3 linked regions of the Canis lupus familiaris genome follow. The protein of the gene in region 3 interacts with the protein of the main gene of each other region in a pairwise test. Links are inferred from orthologs where the notes say so. Each region holds a gene or a part of one and is shown on either strand. Other genes may lie near its edges.

What was found.
Region 1: the proteins of VCP (region 3) and UBXN2A interact in binary tests that used the Homo sapiens proteins (3 or more experiments, as listed by UniProt). The link is inferred for Canis lupus familiaris from reciprocal best matches to the Homo sapiens genes VCP and UBXN2A.
Region 2: the proteins of VCP (region 3) and FAM104A interact in binary tests that used the Homo sapiens proteins (3 or more experiments, as listed by UniProt). The link is inferred for Canis lupus familiaris from reciprocal best matches to the Homo sapiens genes VCP and VCF1.

The regions. Positions count from the first base shown.
Region 1 is NC_049238.1:18,506,717-18,510,885, forward strand, and holds the start of UBXN2A (UBX domain-containing protein 2A), read left to right. Parts: upstream 1-1,254; 5' UTR 1,255-1,463; intron 1,464-1,808; exon of another isoform or gene 1,809-1,956; intron 1,957-2,134; exon of another isoform or gene 2,135-2,152; intron 2,153-4,169. UniProt on the Homo sapiens protein: Acts to repress the ubiquitination and subsequent endoplasmic reticulum-associated degradation of CHRNA3 by the STUB1-VCP-UBXN2A complex in cortical neurons.
Region 2 is NC_049230.1:7,824,790-7,828,869, forward strand, and holds the start of FAM104A (protein FAM104A), read left to right. Parts: upstream 1-1,165; 5' UTR 1,166-1,180; coding exon 1,181-1,413; intron 1,414-1,758; exon of another isoform or gene 1,759-2,021; coding exon of another isoform or gene 2,022-2,071; intron 2,072-4,080.
Region 3 is NC_049232.1:51,938,302-51,941,944, reverse strand, and holds part of VCP (transitional endoplasmic reticulum ATPase), read left to right. Parts: intron 1-165; coding exon 166-296; intron 297-1,043; coding exon 1,044-1,175; intron 1,176-2,241; coding exon 2,242-2,344; intron 2,345-2,975; coding exon 2,976-3,109; intron 3,110-3,186; coding exon 3,187-3,322; intron 3,323-3,643. UniProt on the Homo sapiens protein: Necessary for the fragmentation of Golgi stacks during mitosis and for their reassembly after mitosis. Involved in the formation of the transitional endoplasmic reticulum (tER).

The sequences.
Region 1 (4,169 bases), on a different chromosome or scaffold from region 3:
CATTAGGATGGCTACTAAAAAAAAAACATCCTAATGATGGAAAATAGTAAGTGCTGTCCAGGATACAAGGAGAGACCTGAATACTTGTGCATTGCTGAAGGGAATATTTTTTTTTTTTTTTTTTTTTTTTTTTTTTGAAGGGAATATTAAGATGCTGTACTCAGGGATGCCTGGGTGGCTCAGCAGTTGAGTATCTGCCTTTGGCTTAGGGCGTGATCCAGGTAACAGGCTGGAGTCTCACATCCCGCTCCCTGCAAGGAGCCCGCTTCTCCCTCTGCCTATGTCTCTGCCTCTCTCTGTGCCTCTCATGAATAAATAAGATCTTAAAAAAAAAAAAAAAAAAAAAAGATGCTGTACTGATTGTGGAAAACAGCTTCGCAGGTCCTCAAAAAGTCACACCCCATGTGACCCAGCAATTCCGCATCTAGATATATACAAAATAATCAGAAGGAAGAGAATTACTTATACACAGATGCTCACAGCCCCATTTTTCACAATGGCCAAAACGTGGGAACAATCCAAATGTCCATCAGCAGATGAGTGGATAAACAAAAAAATGATCTATACAACGACGACATGCTTTTCAGCATAAAAAAGAATAAATTCTGGGGCGCCTGGGTAGCTCAGTCAGTTTTGCGTCTGAGTTTGCCCTTGTCCCTGGGTTAGAGCCTCAGGTCGGGCTTCCAGCTCCGGAGGGACTCAGCTTCTCCCTCCGTCTGCCCCTCCCTCTCTCAGCCCCTCCCCCTGCTCATTCTCAAAAATAAATAAGTAAATAAGCAAATAAATAAATTTTAAAAACCTTTGAAAAAAAGAAATTTTGATACCTGCTCCAACATGGATGAACCTTGAAAACATAATGCTAAGTGAAATGAGGGCAGGCACCAAAGGACAACTAGTGCATGACTGCACCTGGATGAGGTACCTAGACTAGGGTCGCTTCATGAGTTGGGAAGAAGAGGGAAAAGGACCCCTCCAATGGGGTGCGGAGAGCGAGAGGGAACTCTGACCGGGAGATGTGCCACGGGCTCCAAGGTCAGGCAAAAAAAAAAAAAAAAAAAAAAAAGGCTCGCTTCTCACAGGGAGAGGTGAACAAAGACTAGAAAGAACTGTATGTGAGGGACTTGTGAGGGTGGCAGCGAGGGCAGCGCCGCACGCGGAGGTGAGCCTCGGGCGGGTGAGTGCGCGTCGGACTCGTGCCCGTGGCGGAGCGGCGTAACTCAGGCGTGGTCAAATCTCCGTGGCCCGGATCCCCCCAGCCTGGGGGGCGAGGGCCGCCGCTCCACCTGGCCGCGCGAGGCAAGAACGAAGAGCGGAACTGGGCCGCCGTGGCCGACGGCCGTGGGTGAACAGGGGGGCCCGCGTGAGCCACCGCCGAGCTACACCTGGAAGGCGGCCCCCGCAGGGAACCCTCCCGGGGCGCGGACGGGCGCGGCGGCGGGGATTCCAGAATCACGCGGCTCGCGGTAAGTTCAACGTTGTCAGAATGCGGGGAAAGCCGTCCGCCGACTCCGTGGGAGGCTGAAGAGGAGGTCGGTAGACGCGGGGTTCCTAGGGGAGCCCACTCCTCGCTCCCAGCATTTTCGGCGCGGGGTGAGAAGGCAGCCCGCGGCGTCGCCGGCGGCAGGGACCAGGCAGCCGCCATTAGCGCGCGCGCCGGAGCCGAGGCGCCGGCCGGCCCCGCCCCCCCGCCCCCCCGCCCCCAGCCCCGCGCGCGCTCTCGGGTCCGCGCGGAGCCTGCGGTGAGCGCGCTCGGCGGCCGGCGGCGGCCGCGAGGCGGAGACGCAGGCGGGAGGGCCGGGTCCCGGCGGCGCGGGCCCGCGAGCCTCCGCGGGTCTGAGGGCGGTGGCGCCCCCTCACCCCACCCCGCGTGAGGGGGGCTCCAGCCCGGCGGCGGCGGCGGCGCCCGCGGTGTCGGAGCCAACCGAGGACCAGGCCGCGAGGCGACCGCGCCCGGAGGTGAGTGCGCCGGGGCCGTGCCCGGTTCGGCGGGGTGAGGCGCCGGGACGCGCGCTGGCCGGCGGGGGCGGGGGCGGGCGGGGCGCGCTGGGGCGCGCCCGGGCTCAGCCCTGAAGTCGGTTTCCGTTCGGCTGAGCCCCGGGTCCCGGCGGTGTCGGTGTCCCCGGCGGCGGCGGCGAGACCCCCGGCCCCTCAGGTGAGCCCCGGCTCGGGCCTGCAGCCTGCGCCAGCTTCGTGCGTGGGAGCTCGGTGCAGGCACCGCAGAGGGCTTCCGCTCCAGGGGCGCTCGGAAACTTCGAGGCGGGCGCACTCAAAATGCCCGCATTTTTCTCTTTTCTCATTTTATTTTATTTTATTTTATTTTATTTTATTTTATTTTATTTTATTTTTTATTTCATTTCTTGACGAGAGACACAGAGAGGCAGAGACATAGGCAGAGGGAGAAGCAGCGTCCCTAAGGGGAGGGGAGCCGAGGCGGGACTCGATCCCAGGACCCCGAGATCGGGACCTGAGCCACCCAGGTGCCCCTGCCCGCATTTCCAAAGGCGTGTGCTGCAGGAGCACTGTGCAGAAACACCAGGCGCGTTTGTTTGGGGTGGCCATTTCTCAGGTAGCTTCATCACCAGTCCTTCCATGACACTCTTTTTTGTAGGTTTCGTGTTCGCTGTTTCCCATGTTTAATATTTGTGTGCGCGCGTCTTTTTTTTTTGTTCGCGGTTTCTTATTAGCAATAAGGAACGTTAGGGTGGCCTCCAACACTAATTCCTTAGTACACATAATTTGGGATAATGGAAAATAAAGATAGGAAACTATTGATGTCAGTGTGGAACTGTAAAGTATGACACTTTGATGAGTGCCCACCGTACCATGGTAATATCCCTTAAAGATTTTCTGTTTTTTTTTTTTTTGACCCATATAGAGTTTGCCTTATGGACTTTACATTGTTATTGGAGGGAACCAATTGAACAACTAATCACACAAGTCTTATCAGTTGACCCTTGAACAACGGTGGGAGTGTTAGGGATGCCAACCCCCACACAGTGGGAAATCTGTGTATGAATTCTGATTTCCCCAAAATTTCACTACTTAGAGCCTACTGTTGACCAAAAGCCTTAAACAACACGTATTTGGTATGTTACATATATTATGATTTGTGCTTACAATAAAGTAAGCTAGAGAAAAAATATTAGGAAGAAAATCATAAGGAAGAGAAAATACACTTACAGTAATGTCTTGTATAGAAAAAAGTGCACTTCATCTAAGTGAACCTGCATAGTTCAAACCTGTATTGTTCAAGGATCAACTGTAAATGCCAGTAAACCTAAATAAAAGCTTAAAAAGGAAGAATATAGTATATTGTGAGAACGCATAACAAAGGGGATAACCAGCTGGGGAAATCAGTTCAAGTAATCTTAGGAAAGTAATCATCCAGCTAAGATGGTATGGATAAATAGGAATTAGTTAAAGGTGACTCCCAAAGGAGGGAAGAAAGGTCCTGCTTGGCAAAGGAAACAGGTTCCCCAGAGGGAGGTTAGGGAAATATATAGAACTGAAAGGTCAAAGCAGTTGATTTTTTTTTTAATTTTTTATTTTTTATGATAGTCACACACAGAGAGATAGAGAGAGGCAGAGACACAGGCAGAGGGAGAACCAGGCTCCATGCACCGGGAGCCCAACGTGGGATTCGATCCCGGGTCCCCAGGATCATGCCCTGGGCCAAAGGCAGGCGCTAAACTGCTGCGCCACCCAGGGATCCCCAGTTGATTTGAATGTAGAATGCAGTAGGGGGAAAAAGAGATGATGCCAGGTCTTTTAGGCAATTTTAAGGATTTGGGACCGGCTTTTTTTCTCTTTTTCTTAAAGCTTTAGAGTGATATTTTTCTTTTTTTTTTTTTTTAAGATTTTATTTATTTATTCATGAGAGATACACAGAGAGAGAGGCAGAGACACAGGCAGAGGGAGAAGCAGGCTCCATGCAGGGAGCCTGATGTGGGACTTGATCCCGGGGCTCCAGGATCACACCCTGGGCCGAAGGCAGTGCTAAACCCCTAAGCCACCCTGGCTGCCCCTAGAGTGATATTTTTCAAATCACTCAAATGTGATGAGAGAACAGTACAGTAAATTTCTCTGTAATATTACCCAAAATATTTAGACTTTATTAGAAGAGCAATGGGAGATCCTTGAAAGGTTTTAAGCAGGGAAGTTTCAGTCAA
Region 2 (4,080 bases), on a different chromosome or scaffold from region 3:
CCCCGCCGCCCCTCCCCTCCCCTCCCCAGTCCCCGCCCCGCCCCGCCCCGCTCCCCCCTCCCCCTCCCCGCCGCGGTCCCCGCCCCGCCCCCCCCTCCCCGCCGCGGTCCCCGCCCCGCCTCCCCTCCCCTCCCCTCCCCGCCGCGGTCCCCGCCCCGCCCCTCCCCGCCCCGCCCCCCGCTCCCTCACCGTTTCCGGAAGCCGAGCCGCCGCTTCCCCCGAGGGGGCGGGGCCCGCCGGAGCCGCACGGACGCCGAAGGGGCTCGCCCGCCCCCCGACCGAGTCCCCGTCCCCCCCGACACGGGCCGTGGGCCGCTGGACACAGCCCGACCGGCCGCGCCCCGCCCCGCCCGCCCCGAGCGGCGTCCTCACCTGGCCAGGTGCGGCGTTCCGGAAGCCCCCGCGCCCGCGCCCCCGGCCCCCGGCCCCCGCCCCGAGCCGCGGCCTCAGCCGTGCAGGACCCCGCCGCGGGCCGCCCGCGTCACTGCCTGACGCCTCCCAGCCGTGCTTTCAAAAGCCCCGTCCGCGCACAGGGGCCTAACTCAGGTCCCCGCGCCGTATTATGAGGACACCATTTAGTCCGGTTTGCACCTGGGCTGACTGCGGCGGCGTGGCCGCTCGGCTGCGAACAGGCGAAAGCCGAGGCCGCCTCTCCCGAGGCCCTCCCCGCCCCCGCAGGAGCTCCGGGCGGCCCCGCCCCGCTCGGGGCCCGCCTCTTCCTGGGGGCGGGGTTACCGGTCGGCGCGGCCGGGCTCGCGCCAGTGCGCAGGCGCGAGAGGGCGGTACCACGGCGGCCGCGACATGGGGGGGCGCGGAGCGGACGCCGGAAGTCGCGGCGGTACGGGTCCCACCGAGGGGTACGCGCCGCCGGCAGCGTCCACCCGCGCCGCGGCCAGAGCCAAGGCCCGAGGGGGTGGGCGTGGCGGCCGCCGCAGCGCAGCCCCGTCGGTTCCCTCGGCTCGCGGCGCGGCCCCGCGTCGCTCCCCTCCACCGGCTGCCATGAGCGAGCGCCTCCGCCCCAGGTGAGACCGCGGGGACCCCCTTCCTCCCCAGCCCTTGGCGGGGGCTGAGCCGAGGGCGCGCGGGGCGGGGGGTCCGAGCGGGCGTGGGCGCTGCGACTGTGCCCCTGGGTGCCGAGCGGCCCGGGAGGGGGCGGGGAGCAGCCGGGGCAGGAGGAGGGATGCGCCAGGACCTGGTCCCCGCGGTGCCGGAGGGGTCACTCGCCGGGTCCCCCCCCCCCGGGCCTCCCTACTTGGAACGCAGCCTGAACGGCCCCGGGAGAGAGGCAGTGGCCCTAAAGCCCGCCTGTCCTAAATTTAGGAGGGTGGGGGGATGGGAGGACGGTCGGGTCCGAGGGACGAGCCCCCATCGGCGTCCTGCGGGGCCGGGGCGCGAGGCTGCCGCGTCCCCAAGGTCAGGCGGGAGGGTCGGCTGTGACCTGCCGCGGGGAGGGATGGGGAGGCGCGGACGGTTGTGAGCGTGGAAGGACAGGTGCGGTGCCCAGAGCGGCTCGTCGGGGCTCAGCAGGCAGGTTCTAAACTGTCTGGACGCGGGGCCGTTTGCCTCCGAAGGCGGGAGGTGGGGCTGCACCGCGCTGCTGCCCCTGGGCCCCTGGGCCCCTGGGCCCCTGTGCCCCTGTGCCCCGAGCCTGGCCTGGGCCCCGGCCTCCCCCGGACCGACGGCGGCTGCCTCTGCTCGGCGCGCGCGGGCTTCTGTCTGTCTCATCATCGCCTGCCTCCCCCTTGTAAGAAGGTAGGCGGGGGAGGCGAAAGTGGGGCGCGGGCACCCCAGGTGAAGAGGAGCAACTCCACCTCCGGTTAGAAGAACCCCCTCCTCGTCGTGGGATCCCAAGGCCCGACACCGCCCTCCTTCTCATGAGGAAACCGAGTTCACCTGGTCCGCGCCCGTCTTCCCGGGTTGCCCGCTCTTCTCCGTAAAGCCCAAGCGAGTCCAGGAGGATCGCCTCGGCCAGGTTCTGCTGCATCTCTTCTTGTTGCTCCGTGTTTATCCATTGGCTCCGAATGGAATTGGCAGTCTTCGCACGGAGATCCTGCGCCGGCCCCGGAGGATGGTTAATTCGGGGATGAGGATCCTGGGAAACATCCTGAGGTTTTATTTGGTCCAGTAGGGAAAAACCTAGGGTCGCCCGTACTAATGCACTGGGTTATTGGATGATTGAGTCTCGGGTACGTAGTGAGTGGGGGCATGAAAAAGCCCGCTTGTAGTAGGAAAAAAGAGCGGTCTAAGTTTGAAATGAGAGGCCCAATTGGACCTGGCATTGGAATTAGGAACAGGAACCTTTGGCAGAGTAAGCCAGATCTACCTGCCGTTGTTTTCCTTCCCAAACCTGGTTGATCCTTCTGATAGTTTCTTGTGATGTCTCTGTATCTGAAAAAGCCTACATATTTCCTGCAGAAAGATTTCTTTTACCCACGGCTGGATAAGCAAATCTGAATGTGCTTTTTTATACTGTAGCAGATGCCTTTTATCTAGCACACAAATAACCCCAGCGTGTTTATACTGGTAACATCATTGCTATAAAAGAAACCATGTGATTTGGACTGGGGCTTCTCACCTACTTTTTCACCCAGTGTTTCATGGAATATGACGGACCAGCTCTGCCAGCTGCGGCTGTCATAATATCTCCAAGTCAGTTCAGTTTTCTAGATCTGTTTTCTCAATTTTAAGATAAGGGGTTGATCTGAGATGGTGATTTTTCAGACTGTTCCAAAATATACTGGGATGGCCATAGAAGGGAAGATGTATGTCAAAGAAACCCCTACTTTAACCAAAAGAAGTCCTTTGTTTCTTTTATATATGAGTGTATACACGTATATATGTGTGTGTGTATATATACACATGTATACGTATATATGTAATATATATAAAAGAGTGTATACACATCTATATATGTGTGTATAGATGCATATACGTATATGTATACATATATATGTGTTGAGGGATTACCCCCCACCCCCAGAGAAAGAAAAGGGCTCTGTTACTTTTTTTTTTTTTTTAAAGTTTGAAAAACACTAATGTGGATACTCTTAAAGATTTCTTCTATGCTCAGTTTCTAGGAGATGACAGGAAGATTGGAAAGAAATGAAATGATGGGTAGTGATGTAATCAGCCATCCTTAGAAGTAGCAGATGCTAAACAACAATCTGTAACTAGATGCCTGGGGAGAATATAATCAATTATATGGGGGCTGCTAAAATTATAACCTGGTCTGTTGCATTAATATGGAAGGCTGTAATCTGACTTTGTGAGTAAGGTTGAACCTGCTATAATCTTGGCAATTATTAACAATACTGTTAAAAGAATATTTCAAGGATGGAATCTGCAAAGAGTCTAGAAAAGGAGAGAGAACAGGAGGGCTCATTCTTAATCCAGTACTATCCAAAGGAGAGGGCCCCTGACAGGAGCTAATTTGGGTGACCTGAGAAAGCAGCTGGGTATAAGGCAGGGATATTTCATGGTACTTGCCCAGAAAGTTAGTTGGAATCTGAAAAAACCAGCCCATCCTTTTTGTTCTTACACTTTGCCTGAGAACCTTCTTGACATTTCTTTTCTTGTCATTGGGTAGCTATAGCCTGGATTATAAATGAGGACATTGGAAACTTTGGGTCAGGCTCATAAGCGGTTAGAGTAGCTCAGCAGCCCAGAACACAGTCAGCTGCTGGCATATTGATAAGAGTTTGGAGGCCAGCATTCAGTGAGTTTCCCTGGGGTGTCAACTGGCCTTCTGTTGGACCTTGCTGTGTCACTGCTGCTCATCTCCAAAACAATTCTCTGGTCATATTATGATGAAAGTAGTAATTCCTTGGTTCAAATCTGTGGTAGTAGCACATCCACTTAAATGAGTATCAAACCTGCTTTTCACCTAGTTTTGAGCCTCAAAATACTTCAAAGTAACGTGCAGTTAAGATCTAAAACCCTGGGAGAAAGGTTACAGAGCAGAAATGATGGTCTTAGAAACAGACGAGTCTTAGAACGAGGCCAGTGGTATACCCCTTTGCAGCTTGGTTAATGCTTTATCAGAACCACACACTCCCAATTTATCACTCCAAGCCTCAACTG
Region 3 (3,643 bases):
TTTAGCTTTCTCCTCTTGCCTGATGCTTAATAAGGTAGAGGTGGGAAGGGGAAAGGGGCAGTATCTAGTGAACTTGGCATTTTAGACAACAGGTTCTGGTGAGGAACTCTCACTTGCTCTGGTATTTGACATCTCTGACTGCACTTGTGCTAATTACTCTCACAGGAGACATTTTCCTTGTCCGGGGTGGAATGCGTGCTGTAGAGTTCAAAGTAGTGGAGACAGATCCCAGTCCTTACTGCATTGTTGCCCCAGACACAGTGATCCACTGTGAAGGGGAGCCTATCAAACGAGAGGTGAGTTCTCTCCTTTATCCCAGTACCCAATTTCATGATTACAAAGTGGGGCGGTCATATGGTAACTACTAACTGTGAGTGCTCTTTGGGGGCACCTGGGTGGCTCAGTTGGTTAAGCATCTGACTCTTGATTTCAACTCCGGTCATAATCTCAGGGTTGTGAGGTTGAGCCCTGTTTTGGGCTCCATACTAGGTCTGGAGCCTGCTTAAGATTCTCTCCCTTTCGCTCTGTAGCCTGCTCCCTCCGCCCCTGCTCCCACCCATCTCTGTCTTCCTCTATTAAAAATAAAACTGAGTGCTCTTTGGAACTAAGCTTTTTTCCAGAGGTTGTGAAAATGTTTCAACTATTCATTTCTGGGCCTGTGTGTTTCTAGAAGTATATGATACCAGTAATTTTTAAAATCCAGATTGAACTCAAAAGATCTAAGTGGTTGGAATAATTTTTGTAGAAGTGACATTGATGATGGCATCCAGACCTCTGTCTGTTTCCCAGTTTCTAGCTTTAGTCTTAGGGTGGTTCTTTCCAGTAATACTAAGGGCAGTGTAAAAGGGAAAGACTATGCTGAAAATCTTTGCTTTGGGATTTTTAGAATTGTTCTTTGAGTCAGGATCCCCCTTAGAGGAGAATCCTCTCGTAAAATAGGTTTCTCTATACCAGATTGTAGAAGGATTTGGCGAAACTCAACTTTTGCTAATAATAATAATATTCCTGCCTTTTTTTTTTTTCTTTGTCTTCTCTGTATTCAGGATGAGGAAGAGTCCTTGAATGAAGTAGGCTATGATGATATTGGTGGCTGCAGGAAACAGCTGGCTCAGATAAAGGAGATGGTGGAGCTACCTCTCAGACATCCTGCTCTCTTTAAGGCGATTGGTGTTAAGGTGAGTATCCTGGGACATAATGTAGGCTGGTAATTAACAAAGACTCGGGTCAATTCTTGTTGCATTATTTTTTATATTATGGTTATTTAAAAATGTAAAAACCATTTTTATCTCACGGACCCTATAAAAACAAATCTCATCATAGTTGCCTACCTGTATGTAACAATGTCACCCAAGAAAAGTTTAAGGAAATTTGCAGTGTGTGAAGGGTCCTGAATCCAAAACATGTGAGAACTGCAGACCTACAATGTGACTTCCTAACTGTTCCATATCATGGGCACAGTGAAGATGAAATTACCCTCTTCTCTAGTATGTACCATACAAATAATTTTATCTTCTATATGGGCATTTCCCATGTGCAGCCTGTGGATAGGCCATAAAAAAGACAGCTTCAAAGAGAAAAACTTGTGGTTGTTGGTGGTAAGGAAAAGCATTCAAATATGATAGATCCTAGAGGGTTGTGATTATTGGAATGAGTGAGCCTGTGGCAATACTCTTCCTTAGATAGCTAAAAACTAGTCCTGGCCCTTGTCTGTCCAAAGTCAAAACCTTGGCCTATTGGCCTCTTGCTTTTTTGTAGTCCCAGGATCTTCAGACTTAGCCATACTAGAGTTTCTTAGGGTGGTTTCTGTGCTCTTAGTCTCCTATGCCAAGGTATAATCATAAATGTCAGTTTTCTAGGGATCCCTGGGTGGCTCAGCAGTTTAGCGTTTGCCTTCAGCCCAGGGCGTGACCCCGCAGTTCCAAGATCGAGTCCCACATCGGGCTCCCTGCATGGAGCCTGCTTCTTTTTCCCTCTGCCTGTGTCTCTGCCTCTCTATATATACCTCTCATGAATAAATAAAATCTTAGAAAAATGAAATAAAATAAAATAAATGTCAGTTTTCTGCTAATAAGAGGAGTGAGTATGGCCTGAAGTAAACTTTCTTAGTAGTTTATGCTGAGGGCTCAAAACTGATTCTCACTCTCTATCTAGATAGAGCCACATTCAAACCATTTTAGAGTGGGTGGAGTTGGGAGAAGGTAGGAGTCTGAACCTAATCACTCTCTCTGTACTGGTCCTTAGCCTCCTCGGGGAATCTTGCTCTATGGACCTCCTGGAACTGGGAAGACCCTAATTGCCCGAGCTGTGGCAAATGAGACTGGAGCCTTCTTCTTCTTAATCAATGGTAGGAGAATTGGTTCACCTTGTATTTGGCTGGATCTTACACTGAGCTGAGCATGATCCAGTCTCACGAGCTGGAGAACTCACGGACACATTTATTTGCATACATACCCTCATGTATATTTCATCATCTTTCTTCTGCTGGGTTACATTGTGGACAGATAAGCAACAAGGGGAAGGTATTGTACTCTGGTGTCCCTGATCTATCCTCCCTTGAGAGAGAAAGGCTGAAGACATTTAGGGGTAGCAAGTTAGAATGAGAACTCAAAAATTTTGTCTGCTAGTTTATTTGAGAGGGTTTGGGGGAAGATTGACATTAGCTGCCTCTTTGAAAATGATAGAGGTCCATCTGGTATGCTGGTTCTCTTGCCCTGGCCTGAGGGTCCAGGGCATGTGCTGGCATCTTGACATTTAGAGCTTGACTGAGATAGGTGTGAGTTCCTTGTGGTTTCCCTCCAGCCTAGTTTGTGCCTATCCTGGGATAGTATCTGGGAGAGTCTGTGAGAAAGTAGGCAGAGGTTACCACATGTTTACATAGCACCTGTTTCTGGACCAGCCAGATAAGAGATCTGATTTATCTTGGGATTGAGGGAAGGATGTATTTTTGTCATTGTTTCTATTCTGTATCCTTTCAGGTCCTGAGATCATGAGCAAGTTGGCTGGTGAGTCTGAGAGCAACCTTCGTAAAGCCTTTGAGGAGGCTGAGAAGAATGCTCCGGCTATCATCTTCATTGATGAGCTAGATGCCATCGCTCCCAAAAGAGAGAAAGTAGGAACTTGCCCAAGGGGATAGTGGGGGTTAAAAGGTCCTCACTTCACTTCTGACCAGACATCCTGTCCTGACAGACCCATGGGGAGGTGGAAAGGCGTATTGTATCACAGTTGTTGACCCTTATGGATGGCCTAAAGCAGAGAGCACATGTGATTGTCATGGCAGCAACCAACAGACCCAATAGCATTGACCCAGCCCTTCGGCGATTTGGTAAGGACCTCAAATTTCTTCCGACCCTGTTCTTGCTCATAGGGAATCTATAGCTCTACTAAGCTTAATCTCTTTTAAGAGATTCTGTTCTTCATCTTAGTCCTAATCTGAGGATTTCTTGAAGCTCCTTGCAGTGATAGGGCCCAAGGGTCCTTTCCCTTATCTCGTGTCCTATCTATAGTGACAAACCATCCTGGTTTGTCTGAAACTGAGGGATTTTCTAGAACTTGGAACTTTCAGTGCTAACACCAGGAGAGTCCTGGACAGACAGGGATGATTGGTCATGTGAGACCTGTCCCTTCTTTCCTGTAGCCCAGAAAT